7 linked regions of the Cricetulus griseus genome follow. The protein of the gene in region 2 binds, or shares a complex with, the protein of the main gene of each other region. Links are inferred from orthologs where the notes say so. Each region holds a gene or a part of one and is shown on either strand. Other genes may lie near its edges. The genes, in order: Anp32e, Brd8, Meaf6, Epc1, Morf4l2, Ing3 and Ruvbl1.

Region 1 (3,500 bases), on a different chromosome or scaffold from region 2:
CTAAAACACCTGACGGTCTAATAAAGAGCTGAACAGCCAACAGAGATGCAGAAAGGAGGATAGGCAGGACTGGCAGGCAGGGAGTATAAACTGAAAGAGAAAAAAAGCAGCAGCAAGAGAATAAGAAAACGTCAGGGCCAGCCACCACCGCAGAGTAAGAAGGAAAGAAAGATATACACAAGTAAGAAAAATTTTTGGTTATGAGCCTAGCCTTTAATGGCTGAGCCATCTCTCCAGTGGTGCACCACTACTACTCAACTTTGTGTCTTATTTCATGCAGATGACTCAGAATGTGATCATACAGAGATTGGATTCCCCAGAACCCACATAAAGCTGGGTTCAGCAATGTACACCTGTAGTCCTGATTCCTGCTGATATCTAAAGCTGTCCTCTGATCTCCCCATGCATGTCACGACCCATACTCACAAACATGAACACTCACAAAAACAGAAACATGCATGCATGCATGCATACAACATGTGCACTCTCTCTCTCTCTCTCTCTCTCTCTCTCTCTCTCTCTCTCTCTCTCTCTCTCTCTCCCTCCCTCTCTCTCTCTTTCTCTTAAAAATAAGATGGGCTGGAGGAGAAATGGCTCAAAGGTTAAGAGCACTAGCTGTTCAATAACCAGCAACCATATGGTGGCTCACAACCACCAGTAATGAGACCTGGTGCCCTCTTCTGGCCTGCAGGCATACATGCAGACAGAACACTGTACACATCATAAATAAATCTTTATCAGTGCGGTGGTGCCGCACGCCTTTAATCCCAGCATTCGGGAGGCAGAGGCAGGAGGATCTCTGTGAGTTTGAGGCCCGCCTGGTCTACAAAGTGAGTTCCAGGACTGGTTCCATAGCTACAGAGAAACCCTGTCTGGAAAATAAATAAATAAATAAATAAGCAAGAAACCAGGTGTGATGGCACAAGCCTGTAATCCCAGCACTTATGAAGCTTAGGCAGGAGGACCATGAGTTCAAAGACAGCCTGAGCTACACAATAAGACCCCATCTTGAAAAGGGAAAAATAACCACCTGTAGAGATAGCTCACCGATTAATAGTGAAGAGGACCTAGGTACTGCTTCCAGCACTTGGTTCACAAATAGCTGTAATTCCAGCTCCAAGGGATACTATGCCCTCTTTGGGCCTCGTAGTCACCATTCACACAGGCGGTACACAGACAGGCATGTAGGCAAAATACCCACACATACATAATAAAAATAAATAACTTTTAAGGAAAATAAAATGCATAATCAAATATGCCATTTCCTTCTTATTTATTTTTGATTACCAGAAGTCTGATGCTTACCTGGCACTTAGCTCCTAAAAACAAGAACTTTTGGGTTTATTGGTTTGTTTGTTCTGAGACAAGGTTCCTCTGTAGCCTAGGCTATCCTAGAGCATACTAGGTAGCCTATGCTATCATTAAACTCCTTGCCTCACCCTCTGCTGGGGTTATGGTGATGACCTACCCCATACCTAGCTAAGCTAAGACTTCATTTTTGAACACCCAAACTATCCTATCTAGAATGAAAATGCTTCCTGGCCCCACACAAACTTAATGCTATATATATTTCAGAGATTTCTGATTAATGCTTGGCCATGTCATTTTGAGTTAATATTCCCAAACATTCAGTAGAATAATATACCTAAATGTAAGTTATCCCACAGTTGGTTGAAAGTAACTTTTAAAACAGGAGTGGTGAATGTCTGTGTGATCCCAGCACTCAGCAGGCAGAAGTCAGAGGACCGCCACAAATTCAATGGCAGCATGCAGTGTATGAGTCTAAGGCCAGCCTGGGGTACAGAGTAAAATAAGTCCATCCCCACACATTCATACACTTCAAAGTGCAATTTTTAGGGCTGGAGAGATGGCTCAGAGGTTAAGAGCACTGGCTGCTCTTTCAGAGGTCCTGAGTTCAATTCCCAGAAACCACAGGGTGACTCACAACCATCTGTAATGAGATCTGGTGCCCTCTTCTGGCCTGCAGGGATACATGCAGGGAGAGCATTGTATAATAACAAATTGTAATTCATTTCAAATTTAAAAATAGTATCAGGAAAATAAGAACCATTCATCAGATATTATCTACCTAACCATCACTACCTAAGAAAAACTACAGATAATGATGCATGCTTTGTGGCATCTATCAAGAAGGCAAGTATTGGTCTTATCATCGGCATACTATAAAGGCGCACTGTAGAGGATAGCTCTAAGCTGTCATTGAGATCCAGCCTGGGCTACACAGCTTGTTCCATGACGGCGGGCTACACACAGAAACCCTTTCTTGGAAAAAAAAAAAAGGAGGAGGAAAGCTACTGGGAGATGCAGAAGTATAAAGCAAGAAGAGATAATTGGAGGGAACACATTATTCCAGGACTCTGCAGTGTCTATAATGTGCCAACAAGGAACTAGGTACTTTATAGACTCAGATTCATAAAATGTTTTCACCATCCCATGGCACTGGGGGCAGAATCAATTATCTGAGATAAAAAGCAACAAGCAATGACAGTTCTAATGGAGCCACCTTGACATCTGGCTGAGTCTGCCCATCTGAAGCCCACCCAAGTCAGAAAGAGGCAACTTTGCCTTTTTCTTTCTCTCTTTGGATGCTGGCCAAAACCAATACTTTTTCTGATAACTGGGGTCTCCATACTCCTTCTCTGAAGCCCCCTTCCCTGCCACGTGACTGCTTGTCCAAAGTGTGTCTGACCTCAATGCCAGCTTTGGTTTTTTTTCTCTTCTCCCCTCCATTCTCCTCCAGGGAGCTGCTGGGACTTAGAGCTTGCCTACCCTGGGAGTTTCTTGTTTTGTTTTTTCAATAAAACTGTCCTTGAACTAAAAACTAAAAAAGCCACCAAGTGTTCATGGCTGTCTGGATACACTATAGAGCGTCCAGTAAGTAGGAAGCTGGAAGAGAAGACGGACAGATGCTTACCCACAAGTTAGGAAATAACGCACAACTCACTTTACAGTACTCAGCCTTGTGTACAAATATCAAGTTTCCATTCACCTGAATTTCTTCTTTCATTAAGTATGAAAGGCCCACCTCCTCTTCTCCCTCTCCCACTTCTGAACCGGCTTCGTCCTCATCCTCCTCCTCCTCCTCATCCTCCTCCTCGTCATATCCTTCAGGTGGCCCAGCTTCATCTTCTTCCTCATCCTCCTCATCTTCATCTCCATCTTTAAAAAACATTTTAAAGATGAGCAAATAGCTGGGCACAACTTTAATCCCAGCACCCAGAGGCACAGGAGATAGATCTCAAGGCTAGCTAGTGAGTTCCAGAATAGCAGGAGTTACGTCTCAAAAAGAAAAAACCGGGCTGGAGAGATGGCTCAGCGGTTAAGAGCACTGACTGACTGCTCTTCCAGAGGTCCTGAGTTCAGTTCCCGGCAACCACATGGTGGCTCACAACCACCTTGAATGAGATCTGGTGCCCTCTGCTGGCCTGCAGGCACAAGACTGTATACGTAATAAATAAATAAAAATCTTTAAAAAAAAA
Region 2 (3,500 bases):
TATGTGGAGGTCACAGCACAACTTGCAGGAGTCAGTTCTTTCCTCCCACCGTATGAGTTTCAGTGACCAAAGTCAGGTAGTCAGGCATGGTAGCAGGCACCTGAACCCACTGAGACATCACACAAGCCCCACCAATTGAGACAAGGTCTCCCTCTGAAGCCTAGGCTGGCCTCAAACAGTCAGTTATCCCCTTGCCTCAGTTTCCCAAGTGCTGGGATTACTGGTATGTGCCACCATGTTGTTTTCCAGTGATTTCCTTCCCCCAGCACTGGAGATTGCCAAGAACACTAGCTGAGAGCTGCACCACTATACTATCAAAACACATTCCCAGCCCTAAACTTCCCAACTCTCAGAGATAAACCTTTACATAAATAAATAAATTTAACAATAAGTTTTTTTGTGTGTGCATGGTTTTGTTTTGTTTTTTTTTTTTTTTTTTAAATCACTTAGCCCAATGTGGTACATGCACCTGTAATCCAAGCTACGGGGGAAGTTGAAATTGGAGGATTTTGAGCTCTAGCCTTGTCAAAATACAGAGACTCCACCTCAAAAAACAAAAGAATATTGTACAAGAGTTCTACCTATAGAAATACTGATAGCATTTGCTGTCAGTCCTGGCACAAAACATTCCTGACAATATTCTGCCACCTTTGTCCATACTCTAATCCCTGTGGAATTATATATGAACTAGATCCTGAAAACCTTAACGTTTCCCAAACATTCAAGAAAACCCCAATAGCCCTTATTGCACACTTAATTCACACAATTATGAATTCAGTCTTGGTTACTCACCTCTTCTCAGTTGCAGCAGACAGCTTATAAGACCACTTCTCAGCTCTAACAATCTTATCCCCATATATGATTAGGTATGGTGAAGAAAACACATTTCAAACACAAAGGACACACACCAAAGGCCAAAGTTTTCCTTCTATTTGTTATATACACACACGTCACAGGTTTATTTTTTTAAAAAGTCTGTACACTTCACAAGATAATACAAATAAGCTACAATCTTCTAGCTACACATTAGGGCACTAACACAGCCCATGATTTTTGCCCTAAAACGGGCAACTGTGCTACTCCAACTCTCTGAAAAGAGATTTTTCTCAACTCATGTCATTTGACCCAGGAACCTTCTCTTCTGGGCCCATACTGCTTCTCAGCCTTTTGACTAAGATCAAGTGTAGACCTGAGCCCACAAGCCCAAGCTATATCTTGTTTATTTCTATTTCAGGTTCAGCTCAAAGAGGGAACTCTGAGGCTTCACTTCTTCATTTTCATATCTGCTTCAATGGCACAGCGGCGTCCCCTGGTTCCCCCATCCTAAACAACATCAAAGAAAGGAAAGAAACATGAGTGAGTTGGTTACCTGTTAAGAGACAACATACAATAGGAATGCTGGGAATTTGATTTCTTGGGGGAAAGAATCTACAGAGAATACCAAAGGTATGAAGTGGAAGGGACTTTGTTTTCCCACAGAGTAGCTAAAAGAACACCTGACATTTTGTGAGTGTAACTATTAAGACTAGCATTTTTTTCATGCCAATACAAAGGGTCTTTGAAATTCATCTGAGGTCCCACAGAATGACTACCAGTCATCCCACCCAGGTCCACACTGTGTGTAAAGAACAGGAAGAGAAAGTGAAAGGTGGGAGAGGCAGAAAGGGTAGTGAAGCTCTTGGCTAACATACCTGTCCAGTTGCTGGTCCCTATAAGAAAGGCCTTTCCTGCAGACTGACCCTGGCACTAGTTCCCTAGCACCTCCTGACAGTTGTTTTCCATGACATCAGGACAATCAGGCTTCTTTCCATCTGCTGCTCTCTCCCTGTAGCCCAGCTCCTTCCTCTTGTGCAAAACTTTGCTGTCTTCCATAGATAAAAGATCTTATTAACCGGCCTTGCAATAGCCAGCCACTTGAATGAGGATCCAGAGTCACTGTTGCAGGCCAATAAGAAAGAATAGAGATCACAGTGTTCTCTTTGTGGTACAGGTCTACAGGCAAGATGAACTAGTGAACAGTTCTGCTGGGCCGGACCATTTCTGTATTTCTAATATGCAAGGATTAAAAAATTTTTAGAACATAAGTTGCCAACAGCCAACAGTAAGAATAGAAATAACACCTTGCATTTGTGTAACGTTTTAATAGTTTTTTTCAAGTTAATTTTATAACTTATTTTATCCTCACAACATCCCTGTGAGGTAGGCTGGACAGGTACCTCAATCTTACTCTTTCTTTTGTCTTCTTTTTTTTTTTTTTTAAAGACTTATTTTCATTTAATGTGTATGAATGTTTTGCCTGTATGTGTATACTTGCACCACAAGTGTGCAGTGCCTGCAGAGGCTGGAAAAGGGCTTTGGGTTCCTTGAAACTGGAATTACAGACAGTTGTGAGCCACCATGTGGTTGCTGGAAACCCAACCCAGATCCTCTCCAAGAGCATCAAGTGTTCTTAACTTCTGTGCCTCTCTCTAGTACTCCCTCCTGCTTTTTTTTTTTTTTTTTTTTTTGAGACAGGGTCTTACTCCACAGCCTAGGCATGCAGTGATCCTGCGGGCAATCCTCCTGGCCCTCAACTCATTATTACTTCTATCACATAGAGGAGAAAATTAAGGTTAGCTAATGATCTTAAGACCATGTAGTTTTCAGCATGTTTTGTCCCTTACTTCACTGCTCTACCATGAACAGAATCAGTCATTTAATTTATGGAGCAAAAGAATAAAAGCCTTTTGGCTAGATCTATTATGTTTATCTATAATCTCACCAGCTATTATTGCATCCAGTAGTCACTGCTACTGAGATCTTTAAAAAGTCTTTAAAAACATTACCACTCCTGCGTGTGAGGTCTGTGTAGGAGCACACGTGCCATGCTGCACATGTGGAGTTCAGAGGGCAACTCTGTGGAGTCAGCTCTCTCCTTCCACTCTCATTGGGGTCTGTGGGTCAAACTCAGGTCACTCCCATGGCAAGTACCTTTACCAGCTTAATTTTTAGTGAGGGTTTATCTGTGGAGTCTCTCAATTTAGTTAGGAGGAAGTGGAAAGGTGTGTGTTAAATATCTACCAATACTGCTAAAAAGCCAAGCAGCAGGTGCTGCTCTGAGCTATCTTCCACTCATAAGAACTGGTAAAAGGTGGAAGCAAGAAATGAGGAGCAGGTGCATCCTAGGTCTTTACCCCAAGAACACTTCATATTTCAGTGCAGTGATCTTACAGCAGTTCCCCCAGCCCCCTCCCTCTGACACACACACATACACACACATGCAAAGAGACCAGAATGCAGAAGAAAAGAATTTCTTATTCAATGGATAAAAAGAATTTCAAGACACTGCCACAGTCTGCATGTTGGATTTCCCTCTGCCACCCAGGCCCAGCAGGAGTTGAGAATTTTTCTGGCAACATCACCCCTTGCAGCCATTCAATACTTACAAAGAGAGAGAGAAGGAAGGCAGGAGAGCCCATGGGGACACTGTCCTGTTAGAGGACAAACAAATACTGATCAGG
Region 3 (3,500 bases), about 170 Mb from region 2:
AGAATACCAGGCTACACAACCATAACATATATGCAGAGGGCCTAGGTCAGACCCATGCAGCCTCCCATTGTTGGCCCAGTCTCTGGGAGCTTCTGGAAGCCCTAGTTAGTTGATTCTGTGGGTTTCCTTGTGGTGTCTGTCCTTGAACCCTCTGGCTCCTACAATCCTTCATCCCCCTTTTCCACAGGATTCCCCAAGTGGGTACCTTTTCTCTACTAACTATCTATTGATTTATTTATTTTTAAGTTTTATTTTATGTGCATTGGTGTGAAGATGTCAGGTTCCCTGGAATTGGAGATACAGACAGTTATGAGCTGTCATGTGGATACTGGGAATTGAACCCAGGTCCTCTGGAAGAGCTGTCAGTGCTCTTAACCGCAGAGCCATCTCTCCAGCCCTGTTATTTATTTATTATTTTTAATTATATTCATATGTCTGTATGAGGTATGTTCATGTGAGTGCTGTGGGCACCCAAGGAGAGGTGCCGGCTATCCTAGAGCTGAAGTTTTAGGCGGTGAGCCTCAAAGTGAATTCTGGGAATTAGTCTCAGGTCTTCTGAAGAGCAATACATGCTTTTAACCTTGGAATAATTTCTCTAGCTCTCCCCACACCCCATAACGCTTTGCAGAGAAACAGGATTCTCTGCTGGTTTGTCAGTTTTGCCAGGGTCATCAACCCTTATCCTCTGGATGTAAGTCTTCCTCTCTTGTGTGTACTCTTTGTTACATAGCCCTTATGTAGTAGGGTGGTGCTTATGTTGCCATCTGGTTTGTCTTCAGCACTGTCGTCCGGTTACACTGTTGCAGATTGCATGGTTTCCAGGAACTCCCTAGCTTTGATACTTTGAATGTCCATCCCCTGTCAGCTTGTATCTTCTCTGTCACATGGCCTGTGGGCTCACAAGCAGACATTTGCTGCTTACAAGAATTTGGGGAATACTGATCAGGCTTTGGAACCTATTTTCTTTCCTCTAGGGGAACCAGGAAGTGGGACAGAAAGCGATACTTCTCCTGACTTCCACAATCAGGAGAACGAGCCTGCCCAGGAGGACCCCGAGGACCTGGACGGTTCCGTTCAGGGAGTGAAGCCCCAGAAGGCTGCCTCCTCTACCTCCTCAGGGAGTCACCACAGCAGCCACAAAAAAAGGAAGAATAAAAACCGACACAGGTTAGTGGCAAGGTCCCACCCAGTCCCAGAGTTCTCATGACTACTGGGAGGGACTTGGTTGGAATGAAAGTGCCTGGGACAGTGGCAGAGCCCTCATGCTTCGGGTGGCAGAAATCTTCTGGTGCTAGTCCAGTGGGCTGGTGTTCTCTGAGGGAGGAGTGGGTGGCAATAGAGAGGCCCCGCAGGATCAATGGGAGCCACCACGATGGACTGTGACTCCTGAGCATTGGGTCCTTGCTAAGAGGAAAGTGGAACTAGAAAGACTCTGGTTATTGGGAAGCTGTGACCTGGGATGGAGGTTCTTTGAGTCCTGGGCCCCGTCTGCTCCTATGAGAGCTGAGTTGCCATGCCTTCCTTGACTTTTTAAATATGGGTTTGGTTTTGATTGTTATGACTTTTCTATTTTGTAGTTCTCTGAGTATGCTGCCTTCAGATACGGGGAAACACTTAAAGCTCCTAAATGCGAGCATTCCTTCGTAGGAACCACCTGAGCACTGCTACTTTTGCAGTGGGAAATGAGATGGGGATGACACCAGTGCACAGAGAGGTCAGGTGTCTCAGGGGGTTTAGTGGTCACTCTGCCTGGGTTTGTATGCTGATGCTGGGCCTTAGCTCAGAGGGTGATGAGTCTGCAGGGCAAGGGGCTCTCCCTCATCCTGGTCTTGGAAGCCTGAACACTTTGGGGGTGAAAGGGGTGTGCAGGGCTAAGGAATTGCATTGCATTAGAAAACTTCGGGGTGTCCCTTCCTGCACCTAAGGTGTTCCACTGTGAACTTCATAGACGTGGCACTGTGGCTAATATAGAATTAAATTTAACTGGTTTCAACCTCTTTAGTTTTTAAGTTTTTCTTGTTTTTTAAATTGCAGAAATAGTGTTTCCTCCAAATAAATAGTGCTGAAGGACCACCGCTTTACTGTTTTCTGCAAACCAAAAACCACTGTGCTAATCTCAAAGTATAGTAAGAAACAGCAAAGAATTGTCCCCTACCATCTTGGTAAGGATGTAGGTTGTTGGAGCATTGCGGTAGGCTTGGGGCTACCTTATCACAAACAATAGAGACCCATACTCTTTTTAAAGAGTATTTTGTGGGCTGGGAAGATGGCTCAGTTTGTAAAGTGCTTGCTCTGCAGGCTTGAGGACCTGAGTTCTAATCCCAGCACCCACATCAAAGCACTCAGTGCATTGTATGTGTCTGTAAACCCAGCATTGGGGACATTGATATCCTGGGGGCTTGCTGGCCAGCCAGTCTAATAGAAGTGATGGGACCCTTTCTCAAAGACTACATGGAGAAACACCCAGCATTGACCTCTGACCTCCATATGCACACACATATATACTACATACACACAAATTGGCAAGATAATTCAATATTTTCTTCTGTGTTGTTTTTATTACATTTAGTTTCTTGTCATTTTGGGGATTCTTTTCCTATTTCAGAGTGTCTAGAGCAGGGAGACCATTCTTGAAAGTCCCTGGGACTCTGCACCACTGACCAGTGTCCTCTCTAGATCCTGCTGGTTTCGTGTAACACCTCATTTGCACTAGCGATGTGGGCAGCTCTTGACTGGTGAAAGGCGCTAGAGAAGTGTTCCCTTTAACTGTCCTTGCAGGGTTCTAGAACATCTCCATGGAAATAACAGTTCTTTCTTATCCCTCCCTTTTCCTGGCCCCAGGAATGAATCCCTTCCAGAAACACACTAGCGCTTAGAAAGACAGTTCTTGGGGACTGATCTCCTAAGGGGCAAGTCTGGCTTAGAAGGTGGACTGGGTTTTTAGCTCCAGAATTCCTGCCTCAGTGGTGGCCTCCCAGGGCCTGGTGTGCTCATCGGCCCCCAGAAAGGCTTGTGGCACACGTTGCTTTGTTTCTTAGGAAGCTGACCCCAGCTTCCTAAGTGGTGTCTCAGTGGGCTAAGGCTGTTGCAGTCCTCTTTGCTACCTTTGTACACTCAAGGGCAGGGGTGGAGCACATTATTCATACACGCTGGTGAGCTGGCACCCAGAGCAGCGCTTCCTTCTCCACTGTGCGGTGGCCCCTGTAAGTCAGGCCACGGTGACAAGATGTCCAAGGACTTGCCACATGCCCCCATTTGAGGAGAAGCAGGAAGTAGTCGAACTTACCATTTACCCCCCCCCCCCAGGAGGGGGGATGGAACACAAAGCTTCAACTGTGCTAGTCAAATGAAAATCGCCAGTTTTCTAAATTCTTATATTTTACATATCTGAACAACAGTTAAGTCCCACTGTCTTTAAAGAGAAAAAAGTAAATACTAGCTGCTCTTAGAGGTTTTTACTATTACATCATACCCAAGATTTGTTTTTGTAAATCATTGCT
Region 4 (3,927 bases), on a different chromosome or scaffold from region 2:
ATTAATCCATGAAGTTGGATTATGATAACTAGATTCTATGTCTTAACAGTCTCAAGACTGACACTAAATTAAGAGTATATGCCCTTTTCTAAACTGGACAGTCAATTCAGGTCCCAGGTTACAGGACCTGGCAGGAAGCATAGGCCACATGCCATGAACTTTGCTTTAACTCTTCTTTTTCCAAGTACAAAAGATTACCTCCGAATTACATCATGCTTGGTACTTTTCAATACTACACAACATACTACCTTCAATACCATGACTCACATAGCCTGTCACTAGCAGCTGGACACACACAGTTTGTTTACGAAGGATTTTAAGTTCTATCAAACAATCTAGGCTTCACTTATATACAGTTTTGATTGGCTGTGACTTGAAAAATTCTAAACAGATGATGGAAAAAGGTACCCTCAAGGGGGAAAAAGGAAATCCCCATATCTAACAAAAGTTGGACCTTCACCTGCTAAAACCCAGTGACAGTCATTGCACAATACCAAGACTGTTTCAGTGACCGAAATTATCTGTAAATGTTAATATGCATGGACAGACCCTTAAGTTGAACTCAGCTCTTGTTTTAGATTGTAGTTCTTGGGACTGTCCAAAAGACTCAGATAAGCAAGACCTAACTCCATTTCTAAAGTGCACTGTTGTGGGTCTTGCTCTTGCTTAATGATTTCCACCTTAGATTCACAAGAGCTACAAGTTAATCCCTCAAGCAGGGTATCACCAGCACCCCAACTTGAAAGCAATATCTGTAAAACTTACATAGAGAAACAAAAATAAAACAAAAAGACAAGATTCTGCAGTCACAAGTACTTTAATTTTTTAAAAAAACAAATCACTTATTTTAAAAATAAACAAATGGCACCATTCTACTCTAAGTTGATACAGGTCAAAATAAAGAGCACTGCGCTCGCAAATAAGCTGCTGAGAAGTCAGCACACTACCCACACATCTCATCTACTACATACACTTAGCACTCAGCTGTGAAGGTAGATTCAAGACCCTCCGCCCCAAAGTAACATTCGACTGTCAAAACTATTTTACTTTAAAAGGTTAAACAACCCAAGCAGTTTGAAGAGTTTTATTTTGAAAAACATTACAGAGAATAGAAAATTCTTACAGTACCACAGAAGTATTACAGTACAATTTTCCACAACAAAATTGGAGCACACAAGTCCATGGGAATCCTTGACTTCCTTGAACTGTCAACACAAAGCACCCTGTTTAAGTGGCTGTACCTGGAAACCAACGTATGCAATTCCTCAGAATTAGAATTTAAAATGTTAACGATTTAGGGGAAATGAGAGGAAGATTCTCTTATCTCTGTGTCGGACCCAACTTCCACAGCAAGGTAAAGGCCACGGCTAAAGTAAATCATTAGCTGTATAAACAATTTAACTACTGCAGCCCACCCAGTTAGGACATCTTAATGTTAGGATGTCTGTGAAGAATTCACTCAACTTTAGCTCGGCTATTAATAAAAAAAAGGACCTTCTTTCAAAATTTATAGTTTTAAGAGTTATTGAACCGAGTCTTCTCCATCGTTACTCTGAAAGCAGGCAAACCCAAATTTAACTTACAAGTAACTAAAAAGTTGCAGGCTGCAGAGGACAGATACAATATTGTAAACAAATCTGCAACATTGTCTCAAAGATCAAAAAGTTGGGGGAGACAGTGGGTTCTTTTATTTATTTTAAATCCGCCGGGTTAACAAGCACAGCCGGTGCAAGCAAGCATATACCGGGAGTTTTATCTTCTCTAAAAGTAAAGGCGTCTGGGCAGACAAGGGGCACCCTCGGCATTTTCCTGCAGGAATCGGGAGAGAAATCAGCCTGAGCCCTGAAGTCAACATGACAGGCCCCTCGGAGGCTCCACGTGGGGGACTGCACCGAGCCGCGGGGAAGCGCGCCCGAAGCCTGCGCCGGCAGCCGCTGCCAGGCCGCGGCGGGCCCGGAGCGCCACCCAGCGGCCCTACGAGGGACCTGCAGGCGCGGCCCACTCCCGGCTCGCTGCACCCCCACCGCCGCCCAGCCCGCTTCCCTCTCCGGATGCACAAGGCCCAACCCAAGAACTGAGACCACAAAATGGCTGCCGGCGGCTTCGTCACGTGACCCCTTTGTGCCTTTCGGGCCCCCGAACTCCGCGGGACCCGGGTACCAGTGGCCGGGGGCGGCGGAAGGCCTTCGAGGGGGCCCCGCTAGGCCTCAGCGGCCCGGGACCGAGCACCGGGGAGGCGGGGGACCGGCCCGGCCGGCGACCGAGAGTCGGCGGCGGAGAGAAGATGGCGGCCATTTTGTGTGGGTCTGCTGCTCCGCCGCCGCCGCCGCGGGCAGCGGAGGGCGCGGGCCTGGCGGCGGGTCGGACAGGGGAGTTAACACGTACCGACTCCTCTTCCTTCTCCATTCCGGTGGGCATCTGCGGCACGGCCCGGTTTATCGAGGCGTATTCGTGCAGGTCGGGCAGATCCTCACAGCGGAAGACCGGCAGCGGCTTCGAGGCGTCCAGCGCCCGCGCCCGAAACGACAGTTTACTCATCTCAGGCGCAGCAGATACCTCTCCGCTCTGGGGAAACGGCCCCGGCCAGCGGGATCATGGAGAACCGGGGTTTCGGTCTCCACTCGCCTGCCGCTGCCGGGGACTTGGGGGCGGAGCGCAAAGCCCGCCGTCCGGGCCCTGACACCAGCCGGGAGGGTGGGAGGCTGTGCCGCTCCGCGCCTCGCTCACTCGCTCTCTTCAATACGCCATGGCCAACATGGCGGACATTAAAACTCCACTGTGCGCTCTTCAGCCAACCCCAGCCATTCCCCACACTGCATCGCGCAGCGGCGCGGGCACGCGCGGGGGGAGCGCGGGCTCGAGCGGGCGCCGGCGCGGCGCGGCACGGAGCGCGCGTCCCGCCAACCCCCGGCCCGCCGGCCGCGGCCGCCGGCCTCGTCTCGTCTCGTCTCGCCTCACCCGCTCCGCCCGGCGGCCTCGCGTCCGCCCGGCGCGGTCCTCGGACGGGCGAAGGTGCGACGAGCTCTCGGCGCCCGCGCGCGGGGCCCTGGAAAGGCCGCCGCCAAGAGCGGCCGGGATGCTCGGGCCTGCGTCCCGGGCGCGGGCACCTGTCACCGCGGGGCTGGCCGCGCAGGGCGAGCGCAACGCAGCGCAGCGCAGCGCAGCGCAGTGCGGGAGGTGCAGGACTTAGAAATAAACCTGCACGCGAAATCACAGGCCAACTCTTTAAGTCAAACAAAACTGAGTTACAATTCTGAACAGGTTCTGTCATCAAATCGCCGGTCAAGTTCCCACCCGGGGCTCGCTATAAATACCACTTATATATATATTCAGCTCCAAAGCAGTTTTTATCCAATCCTACCCCTTTTAGTTTAATTGACGCTCGCAGGATAATTGCGGCAAATTGTAACAATCTTTGGTGAAACACAGTTTCCAAATTCCAGAGCCCGTGTCGCTAGCTAGCTGGTGCATTTCGGCAGTATTAGAAGTAAACGTTACTTCAATGCAGCCGTAAGTAGGTTCACACTCTTGCCATCTGTTCTCTGGGAAACTTTATAAAATCGAATCAAAGACCTGTATTGGTTCGGCGGCCACACCAGAAAAGGGACATTAAAAGTTAATTTATTAAAAAAATAGATGTTGATAAGACTTTGAATATTTGGTTTGTATTATACATGAAAATTAGTACCCAGGTATCTCTTTTCAGTGAGATATTTTATAAACTGGGAGGGCTGTTAGGGTGGATTTTGAAAGATTGGCGGCAAAATTTCAAATGTTCATCACGGTTTTAAAAACCTGTTTTAAGTCTGCTTTTCTCCCTGAGGGCTACATAGTAAAAATAATCACTATTCTTAAATACAGGGTTTGATATGAACTGTTAATTAGTTTAGCGTACACTGGCAAACTATCTCTCAGGTTTGTTTCTAT
Region 5 (4,045 bases), on a different chromosome or scaffold from region 2:
AATAACAATTTCTAATATCGTTCGGAGACAGACTTCACATTGAATACCTTACACGCACTATTACTGTGCACATCTGAGTCCACGTCTCTGAGATGGGTACTATTATCACCGTTTTACAAACATGGAAACCGAGACACAGAAAGGAGCCTTGCCCAAGTTGGGCGTTGGCGAGTCGGGATACGAATCCCGCTTTGCCTGAATGTGAAGCTACTAGCTAATCCTGTCTAGAGACACGAAGAAAAGAGGAAATCATCGACCCTTCCTCCCCACCCCCACCCCGAAACCTGAAACGAGAATCCAGTTCTTTCCAGCAGCCGACGTGTGATCACTGCTGCTCCTCCAACCGCCATAGTAAAGCCAGGTTTCTCTGGCAACTGATATCCATAGGCAGACACGTCACCCAGGGGGTGGGCTTAGCGTTTCAGCCAATCATAGTCGTCTTGTCTCAGTTTTAGAATGTTCCATAACCAAATGATTGGATCAAGGCTCGCACGTCAGCAGTGACACTTCGCCGCAGTAAAGGCGGGTGCTAGCAACCTGCTTCTTCATGGTTAGGGCCGAAATCAAACCAATTACCGTCCTTCTTCAGTGCGGATTTCGGCCAATCACAATCGCCCTTTTAGGCTCTGAGCCCGCCCTCCAAATGCGCTACAGCCGTTGGGTCATAAGTCTATAGGGCAGCGTGTTCACGTGGCCTATTTTCACGACCCAGAGTTCCCCTGACCGTGGGTTTTTTTTACCCCCACCTCCTTTCCCTCGCTCTCTTCTTCTCCTGCAGGGAGGCATTATGGGTTTGTGGGTCCCTTCCCCTCCCCCGCCCCCGCACCACTGGGAAAGGAAGTGTCTACGTGGCTTGCGGAAATAGGATAGGCGGAAATGAGCTAAGGTTCCCGCGAGTGGGAAGAGCGAGGTCAAACCTCGGGCCACGCCCCCGAGCTTGTTGCGCAACTCTCGGAACAGGAGAAAAAAAAGGAATAACGAAGGTTTTGATGTGTGTGTGTGAGGGTGGTGAGTGCCACGGGCGGATGGCGTGAGCACCGGGGTGTATGTTCGCGGGCAGGCTCGCGTGGCCGCCGAGTGTGGTTGTGGGTGCACACCAGCCCTCGTGGCGCCGGAGGTGATGGGTGTGCGCAGGCGTGCACTCCTTGCTGTGGCGGGAGGGGCCCTGACCGCTCTTTATATTGGTGGATTGCTGTTTTTTTTTTTTTTAATGTTTGCAAACTGCTTTAATGGAAAGGAAAATAATTAAGGAAAATTACTAGTAACAGAAGTAAAGGGCTTTTGTTAGAAAAGGCCCGCCGATTTAATTTTTTTACGTGTGTGTGTGTGTGTGTGTGTGTGTGTGTGTGTGTGTCTGTTGTTTGAGACCCGGTCTCGCTAATATAATCTTGGATGGCCTGGAACTCATGGAGATCCGCCTTTCTCTTTTCTTCTTCCCGAGTACTGGGATTAAAGGCATGCGCCACTCCACTCAGATTTAATTTTAGATTATATAGATGCTCTTTATTCTCACATTTTACTCCACCAAAATAAACTCGCATGCTTAAGATTCAAAACTATATTAGTAAAGGGGCACTTCTTTAAAGTTTCCAAGTATACTCCCCTCCTGTCTATCACTGAGACCTTCCCCTTTGCCCTGCACCAAACTTACTGCATAATTGGCAGAAATAATACGAACATACAGAATTAAATTCACCTATGATAGAGACCCCTCCAAGTTTTTCTGGGCTCTAACCTTCACCTACCTTTTGGCCTAGTCTCCAAGCATAGCGATCCTCAGGCAAATATGCATTCGGTCAATTTTCCAGAAAGTTCCCTGGGTGAGGTTTATACCTCTTGAATCTGCCACTAGATGTCACCAAATCCCAGCAGAGCACTTGTTGGGAGATTTATTTTTTTTGCTCCACCCACGTCTTAATTGATGAACTCAATAATCTCTGATATATATATATATCTTAAAATCCCAAAGAACAATACAATCAAGTTTTGTAAAGTAACAACGCTAGTCAGGGAATTATATACCCAAAGATTTTTGTTAATTTCTTTCCTTAAAAAGAAAAGCCATCTGTTCTTCCAGATTTTCTTTCCCCTTGTACTATTTTTTTTACTCAGAATTAATAAATGAGCCTAAAGGCTGGTGCTAAAATCCTCTGTGGGACTTGGTGGCACATCTACAATATCAGCACTCAGCAGGCAGAAGGACCCCAAGTTGAAGACCAGTTTAGATTATTTGTTGAGATCCTGTCTCTACATTAAAAAAAAACTAATGAAAGACTATTCTTTTCACTTTTTGCCCACTTTATTTTCAAATACTTACAGTTCCTCCAAATGCTAATTGCAGGCGACTATAGTCAGTCTGTAAAGTTAACTCTGAGGTAAAGTTAGACCTCAGTATTAAAAAATATCGTCCTTTCCCCTTGAAATTTTTAGCAGATATGTGTGTTTGCACCCTAATTTTTTGTGGTGTTTCTGTTTTGTGAGCAAGAAGTTAAGTATGTGTAGTTGGTATAAAAAAGTGATATTTCATTATGCGGAGGGTCATCACACAAAGTTCACACTGTTAAATTTCTAACTACAGTCCTAAACCTATCTCCCCAAGGTTGCTCGCCTGTTCAACGTATCATTGAAGATCAGTTGAGAGTCTCTAACAAAAGTCTCTAATTCTAGGGTCAGGATCCCCGGGGAGACTCACCAGCCGCAGGGTAGATCAAGGTGTCGTTTCTCCAGGTGCACAGAGGACGAACAAGCTCCTGGTCTCTGCTTATATAGTGGCCAGAGCGTCATAGGATTCTAGGACTGTGTCTGGTTATCTTGAGTGAGTGATGTCACTGGGTTCTGGTTATCAGATGCAGCCTCGGGTGTAGAGCATTTCCTGACTAAGCTGTTTTTACATGTCTAAAAGGCATTTTTTTTTTTACTTTGCTCGTGCTCATTCCATTTTGCATAACTTGTATCTTTAGAGTCAGATAGTAAATAGTGAAACATATTTCATACTTACTTGCCTTGTGTTTCAGGGCAAATGATGATGTAGCCCTGATTTTTTTTTATTTCCGTGTATAAGCACATGTGTGCAGGAGTGCTTGCCTGTTCTTGTTGAGGCTAAAGGTCAGCTTCATTTTAGGTCTCTTCCTCTATTTCTGTCCACCTTATATTTTGAGGCAGCGTCACTCAGTATACTTGGAGTATTCTATATGGGCTACAAGATCCTGGCTTGTCATCAAGCTCCTAGGATCTGCCTATCCCTAGCAATAATCCCCCTTAAAACACTGGGGTTACAGATACGAGTCCCATGTTCAGCTTTTATATAGTTTCTAAGGAATGGAACTTAGGTCCTCATGGTTGAACAGCAGATGCTTTGCCCCCTGAGACATCTTCCCAGCCAGACCCTCAATTTTTTAAATATTTTCTGTATTTTAGATGTTACATTAAATATTTTTTCTTTTCTTTTTTTTTGGGGGGGTGGTGTTTCGAAACAGGGTTTCTCTGTGTAGCTTTGGAGCCTATCCTGGCACTCACTATGTAGACCAGGCTGGTCTTGAACTCAGAGATCCACCTGCCTCTGCCTCCCCAGGTGCTGGGATTAAAGGCATGTGCCAACACCACTGGCTTTTTGAAAAATAACACCTATTGAGCAACTCCTGGGTATTAAGGGTCTTTTTCCCCATTTGCCTTTTTGTTGTTGTTGTTTTTTGAGACAGGGTTTCTCTGTGTAGCTTTGGAGCCTGTCCTGGCACTCGCTCTGTAGACCAGGGTGGCCCTGAACTCACAGAGATCCGCCTGCCTCTGCTGGGATTAAAGGTGTGAGCCACCAACACCTGGCCTTTTTTTTCTTAACAAAATTGTACACCATAATCAACTGACAAATATCTGTTCTAGTTATCAACGATATCTATTTGTACACATATGGGTGAAGTTTTTTTTAGGATTTTAATTTCATTGCTTTTATATATGTGTAGGTGTATATATCTGCGTGTGGGTACGTGACATGAGTTCAGAGCTCAGAGGCATCAGATCCCCTGGAGCTGGAATCACAGACTGTTCTGAG
Region 6 (4,005 bases), on a different chromosome or scaffold from region 2:
GACCAAACGCTTTGATTTGAGGAAATAAAAGAAGTCTGACAACATGTACTGTTTCAGTTTGCTAGTGGCTTATACACACTCTGCTTCAATTCTACAAGCAGTAATGCCTTAATTACCTTAGTTTTAAAAAGCTGTACTGACTTTTGCTATTTCAAAACATCTTCCAACAATCAAGGTAGAGTCAACCCACAGACAAGGATGTATGCCACAGCCCTGGAGCAGCACAGCACTGAATCAGCTAATGGCATTAAGTCAGCTGGTTATGGCAACCATAGTTGCTTACTGAGAGTACTACTGGAGAGTGTCCACACTTCTTTTAATAAAAATAGTGATAATATATTCAACATTTGCATTACAGACCAAGCACCCCACCATGTTATATGAAGGTATGAAATGTGTGATCATTTGTTTACATAAGATGCCATTTAATCACTCAATACAGAAGCTATTTATTCTGTGCAAGGGCTTTCCAAAGCCCATGCAAAAATAATGACCTTAGTGGATGACTGCTAAAAAAGACAAATAAATAAAAGGGATTTTTTCTGTTATGGAAATGGAGAAAAACTTCCTCACTATATTCATCATTTAAAGTTCTTCAGTGCATAATACCTTTATATAAAAAAAAAAACGATTCTGAGACATTCTAGTTACTCTTAATTTTCTTAAGAAAAAAATCTTACTTTCAGTTCATTTGCCAATATAGACATGCTGCTACTTTTGTTAATACATTATCACTTTTTGCTTGTTTGTTTTGTTTTTCAAGACAGGATTTTCCAGTGTAGTTTTGGAGCCTGTCTGGGAACTAGCTCATGTAGACCAGGCTGGTCTGAACTCTTCAACTGCCTCTGCCTCCTGAGTGTTGGGATGAAAGGTGTGTACCACCGCCTGCCTAATGCATAATCACTTTTAACTTCAGAAAACACCAAGTTTATAAGAAAAACTAAACTTGAAAAACCCTATAATATGTATAGACTAAATCCAAACTATCATAGAATTTTAAAAAATTGAACTATTACAAAATGTTTGAAATAATCCCTTATTCTATACCTATTTGTAACAGGTATTATACATCCTAATTATATGTATTATTTTAAATCAGCAGATTGTCTTTTACAAAACAAAAAACAAAAACAAAAAAAGTCCCAAGGCAGCAAAGAGCCAAGGTGGATAAGAAACTGGAGAGGCCCTAAAGTGAATCCAAATCTATCTGCTATCAAGCTCTGATCAATCCCTTTGGAATGTGCTTTGCTAAATGTTTACTACTGCAACTGTACTGAGTCAAAAAGGAAAGAATCACACATACACCTGTCACATGCTTATGACGGACTACGGGGCTATGGGCCCCCAAAAGAGACGACCCAGAGACTTAGATGAGAAAGTACAAAGTACATTCCGGAAGAAAAGTTACATAAGTGTGTGTGTGTGTGTGGTGGGGGGTCGTTGGGGGTGGTGGTGGTGAGGGACTGACAATGAAAAGAACAACTCCTAGCAAACGAAGGCTGCCTTTGAGCCACCTCCAATATGGCTTTTCAAAATAGCAAGGTTAATTTGGAAATAAGTACAATACAAAAAACTACCAAGCACTGATGGACAGGAAAAAAAAAAAAAAAATCAAAGCTGAGCCAGTACGGTGGGTGGGTAATGCCTGTAAATCCCAGCACTAGGCAGGCAGAAGCAGGTAGAGCAGGAGACTAGGGCCAGACTCTGATGCACAGTGAGTGTGAGACCGCCCCGAGCTGTGTTTACAAAACAAGAAGAAACGGGTAGAAAAGCCGACCCAAGGTCCAAACGTTTCAATCAAGGGCAGGTCCATCATGTTTCCAATCATGACTATTTCTCTGGCTCGTTGTGGCTGAGAGAATAACCCTGTTCGTAGTTGACGGCTGTCGGCGTCTCTGGCAATAGGCAACTTGTCAAAGTTCGGCCTGCCGAGCCCACTCGGGTCCCCGGGGGAGCCGCGCGCAATCTGCGATCCTAAGCGTTTTACTCTTGAGAGATCGGGGAATAGGATGAACTTTTTCTTTCTCTCTTTTTCCTAAGTCTGAATGCAGAACTCGGAGTTTGCAGGCTCAGGAGCAAACCTTGTGGGAACCACGAGTTTCCCCCGCGGTGCGATGTCGTCATCGCCGTGCCGTGTCACACACACACACACACACACACACACACACACGCACGCACGCACACACACACACACACACACACACACACACACACAAACACCGGCCCCCGCGTGTCAGCGGGGTGCTGTGCCGGCCAGCCTCCTCCTGTGGAGGCGGCAGCCCGAGGAAAGCGGCGCGGAGAAGCCCGCCCGCCCGCCCCGGGGACGCGCCACTTACTCTGCACCTGCAGGTCCATCTCGCGCATCTCCGTGAAGCGGTCCCGAAGGTCCATCGGCAGCTGCTCAATCACTGTCAAAGGCACAGTCCGTCAGAGGGCGGGGCCAACGGCGAAGCTACGCGCTGGCGTCACGCGTGCGTGCGTGCGTGCGTGGGGGGGGCGGCTCACAACGAGGCTGCCAGTTACCGTGAGAAAGAAACATCCCCCGCTCCCCCTCCCTCCCGCCATCCCGCCCGCCCGGCCACTCGCGCTCCCGCCCGCCGCCGATCCCGCCAGCCGCGTCGCCGGCGCCGCGCACTCACTTTCCAAATAGTCCTCTAGGTACAACATCGCGGCCCTGACTGCTGCGGGGACGAACGGGTCCAGGGGTTTATTTGTGTCACTCCTTGTCGCCGGAGTTTTGTCCCTTCCAATATGGCGCCTCCGCTAGCAGCACCCGCTCGACTCCGGCAAAGGGAAAAAAAAAAAAAAAACGGAAAAAAAAAAAAAAAAAAAAAAGGCTCCACTTTGGCGCCTGACGGCGCCTGCCTCACTGCCGCCCGGCGTTACTATTGGCTGCCTGGAGCGCTGACGTCAGCAGGCCGGTGCGGATCCCCGTGGTGTTCTGGGAAATGTAGTCTTTTTTTCCCGAGCGGGGGGCCATCCATGCGGGCAGCTCCAGGCGTCGCAACTACAGAAACCACACGGCTGTGCGAAACGGGTACGCCAGAATCCGAAATGCGGTGCCTCTGTTTATTTGTGGGTTTCTTGCAAGGGGAATGACGGGAATTGTAGGCGCCTGCCTGACAGAACTAGGAACAACTTTTCACCTGTTCTGTGCTGTGATTCCAAGCCCGCCGTTTGTGAGTCATGGATTTCTAACCGTGCTAGGCAAATAGCAAAGGTTCCAAACGCTAGAATAATCGGCCAAGTTCGGAAAACTCGAATTGTTTAGAACACAACTCCCTGCTGGAATTTATCTTCGTTATCCACTCCTGAGATATAAACGGGACAGCTGACTGTTGTTGATCCTGTAACTTTAAGATATTTATACCAAGACTGGATCGAATGAGCATTTCCCAAATTGAAAAATGCCCAAAAATTGTCTGCAATAGCCAGTATGTTTTGCTGCGTGTCTCGAATTCGTTGTAATATTCTAATGCACCTGCAAATAAATAAATAAATAAATAAATAAATAAATAACGGCCAACCATAAATTATGGAGATTTAATCCAATTCTGGGATATACCAGCAATGATTCAAATTTACGTTGGGTAAATATCCGGGTTAAGGTTTGTAAGTCCTGGACTGCGTCTTTTTCTACCCCTAACAAGTGTTCACTAGTAGTATAACGAGTGTATCACCGCTCTGTTTCTGTCTTAAAATCCCTTTCATAAAAATTCGTGCACTAAATACATGCTTTGTGTTTTGAGGAAATGATCCCTTCTTACACTATCTATTACTTACCTGTAATTCCGAAACTGGGGGAGTTGAGACAGGAGAGTCAACAGTTCGAGGGGAGCTTTGGCAACACGGGTAGTTGGAGGCTAGCCTAGACGGTGGGAGACCCTATTTCACACCAAAGAAAAATTAAAAAAAAAAAACAAAATTTTATAAAAACCAGTGTGACATTTTTAAGATTTATTCACTACTCTGAATATATTTATATGTCCAATTTAAAAATTTTCA
Region 7 (3,500 bases), on a different chromosome or scaffold from region 2:
ACTTTCCCCTTATTTTCCTCAAGGAAACCGTCAGGGTAGCCTTACAGGCAGGTCAAATTTAAGTTGCAGGCCTTTTAGTATAAGGTACACTCAAGAATATGCCGTGTGTGTGTGTGTGTGTGTGTGTGTGTGTGTGTGTCTGTCTGTCTGTCTGTCTGTCTGTCTGTCTGTCTTTCTTCCTCTCAAATGTTTTATACTGGTTAATTTCCCAAGTGAATTGGCTGAAGTTGTGATTACTGAAAATGTGCTGCCTCCTACTAGGAAACCTCAGGAGTACAGAATGAAGCCTGAGCATTGCGTTCAACAGAGAGATCTGCCGAGGCAAGCTCCTGGGATGAAGAACCCTGTTAGGAAAAAGAGAAACAGCTCTTTGAAGAAGTGACATTTTTATGCTCTCTATAAAACAGTGACCAAGAAACAACCTCACAGAATCACAGAAGCAGAAAATTCAGAGTGGAGTAAAGAAAGAGATTACACAGTTGATTTGGCAGCTTAGATGAGAAACTGGGCCCAGAGAGCCCAAGTGACTTCCTGGGATTGTACAGCAAGCTGCAAGACAGATACATAATGCTGAGATCAGAGCCAGCCCTGCCATGCACCCTGGATGGGCTAAAGCAGGCTGCCTGTCTTCTATGAGCAGCTGCTTCTATGGGAGCTTTGTTGTGTGTACACACATGAACTGGCAGTATGTGAAGCGTCTGTTGAAGCTGTTAGCTCTAGGTCAAACACACACTCAAGCAGGGTGTGTGACGTAAACCAGCCACTGTGGCAATAACTACTGCAGAGCTATGACAGGCACGAATATCCACCTCTCATTGTGGATCTAAAACTACAAGTTTCGCCATACCACTTGCCTGAAATGGAAGAAGCAAAGCTAAAAGTTAAAACAAGAGGGAAACAAAGCTAAAGATTCCCTTTGACTTTAAAGTCTATGCTTTGATCCCAAGCATCCCAGCTTGTGTCCTAAAGGATGATAGGATTATCCTCTATGGTCAGAGACAAAGTCCCACTCAGTACACCGCAGGCCTCGAGCTTCAGCCCATGGAAGCCTATCCGGAGCTGCTGTCAGGGTTCTGCAGCCCACTGAGCTGTCTGCCTGCATCTCAGACAGATCCCTCGAGGTGCTGCTATCTGTGTGCATCAGAGGGCTAGGGCCTTGGATATGAAGGATCGATCATATGGGATATGTGAAATATGGCATGGCAGAGGCAGGCTCCTCACTTATCTACCGGTTCATTCTAATGTACATGTGTGGTTTCCTGGGAGGAAGAGAGCACAGCTACAGCAGCTGAGTTTTCAAGGGCCAGGTCCTGCACCATCATTTAACACCTGTGCAGCCCCACAGTCACGATGCACAGAACCCAGGCAGAGGTCACAGCATCCCCCAGAGCCACACAGCACTGGGAGGTTAAGCCCCACAGACTCACCTTCAGCTGTTTGGTTCCTTTGGCAGTTTTGAGCCCTATGATCACATGGCTGATAGTTTTGCCATAACCACCCATGGGGTTCTCTGTCTCACACGGAGTAAGCTCTGTCACCTCCCCTTCATAAACTTCCTTGGTCTCCTTTATCCGTAGCCCTGGAAGAGATGGCAAATGGCCATGAGAGATCTCTCAGATGCTACCTTTTTCTCACACACCCATACCCCAAAACTCTTAGTCCCAAGCATTCATGACAAATCAACTTTAATAACAGAAGTGAAAGGATGTCACGGTGTACAGAAAAGCAGTAGAGAAAAGCAGTGGGTTTCAGGGACCCAACTCAGGTTTTCAAGCTTGGCAGCAAGCTCCTTTCCCTGCTGGGTCATCTTGCCTGTTTTTTATTCATGAGATTTTAATCCATATACATTTCGATACGTGTCTCTCAAAAACAAGTACTTAAAAAATAATCTCAAGTGCCAGAGAGATGGCTCAGCAGTTAAGATGGCTCAGCAAATACAGGGTGGCTCACAACCATCTGTAATAAGATCTGGCGCCCTCTTCTGGCGAGCAGGCATACATGCAGACAGAAACTATATACATAATAAATAATTAAAAAAAAAAAAAAAAAAGAATTAACCATGAAGACCAGAGTCCAAATCCCAGCATTCATTTCAGGTGGCTCACAATCATTGGTCAGATGCCCTCTTCTGGCTTCCCTGGGGACTTGAGTGCGTGTGCACATGTGCGCGCCTGCACACACATGCACTTTAAGTCACAATACCATTGTTATAAAAATGACCAGTAACCCCTCAATATTGTCAGGTACCCAGATCTCACATTCCTCTGTCTAGGAAGTGCCATGTGTTGACATTCATTGCCTGCACCAGGGTATAGATGAGCTTTCTGTAAGAGATGGATAGGTTGAAACACATCTTAAATTCCTCTAAGGTTTTCTTTGGGCAAACACAAGTTAGATGGCAACTAGGCTCTACCTAATAGCTGTCAGGGGTGTTGACTATGGGATGGCTGTAGCACTGTGGTGTGGAGAAGACACAGGCCTAGGTCTGTCAGAGGTAGGGAAAGTGCGGGCCTGGCTTCCTGGGGCTGGCTTCATGTGTGCGCAGTGGAGCCGAGCACTAGCCCTGCAAGTGTGACAGAGTCAAGTGGAGTGTGGCTCAGAGAGATAAGATGTGCTTCTCTGCAGGGCAGGAGAGCTACAGAGTTGATGAAGAGGTCAAACTTTAAGAGCACAAGGCAGGGTCAAGGGTCGTCTACAATTGCTACAGGATCCCTTGCTTAGGAATGGGTGTCATAGATAGTGGGTTATTCTGTTGTTTTTAGGGGAATGAGAGACCGTTCTTATAGTCACTGATTGGTGAATAGAATCCCATGGATTCAGATGGTTAACAGCACAAAACAGATTTCTCTCCTTGGAAGTGCAGATCTGAGGGACTGTTGGGAATGATAGCTATCTAGTTCTGGGCTTGAATATAGAAAAACCCTTTAAAAACTGAGTTCAGCGGTGGGTAGGATAGCTCAGTGGGTTTTGTTTGTTTGTTTTTGGTTTTGTTTTTTTGAGACAGGGTTTCTCTGTATTGCTTTGGAGCCTGTCCTGGAACTCGCTCTATAGGCCAGGCTGGCCTCAAACTCACAGAGATCCACCTGCCTCTGCCTCCTGAGTGCTGGGACTAAAAGCGTGCGCCACCACTGCCCGGCCCAAATAAATGTTTAAAAAAATTTAAGTTGAAATCAGGGACCAGGGAGATGGCTTAATCATGTGCTCTTGCAGACGACAGGAGTTTAGTTCCCTGCACTTAGGCAGGACGGCTCACAACTGCCTGTAACCCCTGTAACCTCTCTCTCTTGGTCTGTGCAGGCACCTGCACTCATTCATACACACATTTAAAATAAAACAAAAATAAAGCCTTAAGGGTTAAGCAATCAGATCTCTCTTCTACACTCTACAGCACCTCCAGAAAAGCAGTACACACGAATACACGCACGCAGGCTCGCACGCGAATGCAAGCACACACACAAGCATACACACATACACACACACACACACACACACACACACAC

Evidence for each region.
Region 1: Brd8 (region 2) and Anp32e share a complex: the UniProt entries of both Homo sapiens proteins name them as parts of the SWR1-like complex. The link is inferred for Cricetulus griseus from reciprocal best matches to the Homo sapiens genes BRD8 and ANP32E.
Region 3: Brd8 (region 2) and Meaf6 share a complex: the UniProt entries of both Homo sapiens proteins name them as parts of the nuA4 histone acetyltransferase complex. The link is inferred for Cricetulus griseus from reciprocal best matches to the Homo sapiens genes BRD8 and MEAF6.
Region 4: Brd8 (region 2) and Epc1 share a complex: the UniProt entries of both Homo sapiens proteins name them as parts of the nuA4-related complex. The link is inferred for Cricetulus griseus from reciprocal best matches to the Homo sapiens genes BRD8 and EPC1.
Region 5: Brd8 (region 2) and Morf4l2 share a complex: the UniProt entries of both Homo sapiens proteins name them as parts of the nuA4 histone acetyltransferase complex. The link is inferred for Cricetulus griseus from reciprocal best matches to the Homo sapiens genes BRD8 and MORF4L2.
Region 6: Brd8 (region 2) and Ing3 share a complex: the UniProt entries of both Homo sapiens proteins name them as parts of the SWR1-like complex. The link is inferred for Cricetulus griseus from reciprocal best matches to the Homo sapiens genes BRD8 and ING3.
Region 7: Brd8 (region 2) and Ruvbl1 share a complex: the UniProt entries of both Homo sapiens proteins name them as parts of the nuA4-related complex. The link is inferred for Cricetulus griseus from reciprocal best matches to the Homo sapiens genes BRD8 and RUVBL1.

Annotation. Positions count from the first base shown.
Region 1 is NW_023276806.1:60,578,861-60,582,360, forward strand, and holds part of Anp32e (acidic leucine-rich nuclear phosphoprotein 32 family member E), read right to left. Parts: intron 3,181-3,500; coding exon 3,011-3,180; intron 1-3,010. UniProt on the Homo sapiens protein: Histone chaperone that specifically mediates the genome-wide removal of histone H2A.Z/H2AZ1 from the nucleosome: removes H2A.Z/H2AZ1 from its normal sites of deposition, especially from enhancer and insulator regions.
Region 2 is NC_048595.1:202,876,478-202,879,977, reverse strand, and holds the end of Brd8 (bromodomain-containing protein 8), read right to left. Parts: intron 3,471-3,500; coding exon 3,426-3,470; intron 2,049-3,425; exon of another isoform or gene 1,692-2,048; intron 1,324-1,691; coding exon 1,264-1,323; 3' UTR 422-1,263; downstream 1-421. UniProt on the Homo sapiens protein: May act as a coactivator during transcriptional activation by hormone-activated nuclear receptors (NR). Isoform 2 stimulates transcriptional activation by AR/DHTR, ESR1/NR3A1, RXRA/NR2B1 and THRB/ERBA2.
Region 3 is NC_048595.1:27,952,502-27,956,001, reverse strand, and holds part of Meaf6 (chromatin modification-related protein MEAF6), read left to right. Parts: intron 1-974; coding exon 975-1,167; intron 1,168-1,577; exon of another isoform or gene 1,578-1,714; intron 1,715-2,034; exon of another isoform or gene 2,035-2,162; intron 2,163-3,500.
Region 4 is NC_048596.1:208,059,950-208,063,876, reverse strand, and holds the start of Epc1 (enhancer of polycomb homolog 1), read right to left. Parts: upstream 2,801-3,927; 5' UTR 2,539-2,800; coding exon 2,386-2,538; intron 1-2,385. UniProt on the Homo sapiens protein: Component of the NuA4 histone acetyltransferase (HAT) complex, a multiprotein complex involved in transcriptional activation of select genes principally by acetylation of nucleosomal histones H4 and H2A.
Region 5 is NC_048604.1:43,656,890-43,660,934, reverse strand, and holds the start of Morf4l2 (mortality factor 4-like protein 2), read right to left. Parts: upstream 2,801-4,045; 5' UTR 2,693-2,800; exon of another isoform or gene 2,668-2,692; intron 1,856-2,667; exon of another isoform or gene 1,746-1,855; intron 1,009-1,745; exon of another isoform or gene 713-1,008; intron 439-712; exon of another isoform or gene 285-438; intron 1-284. UniProt on the Homo sapiens protein: Component of the NuA4 histone acetyltransferase complex which is involved in transcriptional activation of select genes principally by acetylation of nucleosomal histone H4 and H2A.
Region 6 is NW_023276806.1:205,262,019-205,266,023, forward strand, and holds the start of Ing3 (inhibitor of growth protein 3), read right to left. Parts: upstream 2,801-4,005; 5' UTR 2,668-2,800; coding exon 2,640-2,667; intron 2,409-2,639; coding exon 2,337-2,408; intron 1-2,336. UniProt on the Homo sapiens protein: Component of the NuA4 histone acetyltransferase (HAT) complex which is involved in transcriptional activation of select genes principally by acetylation of nucleosomal histones H4 and H2A.
Region 7 is NC_048601.1:54,816,484-54,819,983, forward strand, and holds part of Ruvbl1 (ruvB-like 1), read right to left. Parts: intron 1,580-3,500; coding exon 1,428-1,579; intron 1-1,427. UniProt on the Homo sapiens protein: Possesses single-stranded DNA-stimulated ATPase and ATP-dependent DNA helicase (3' to 5') activity; hexamerization is thought to be critical for ATP hydrolysis and adjacent subunits in the ring-like structure contribute to the ATPase activity.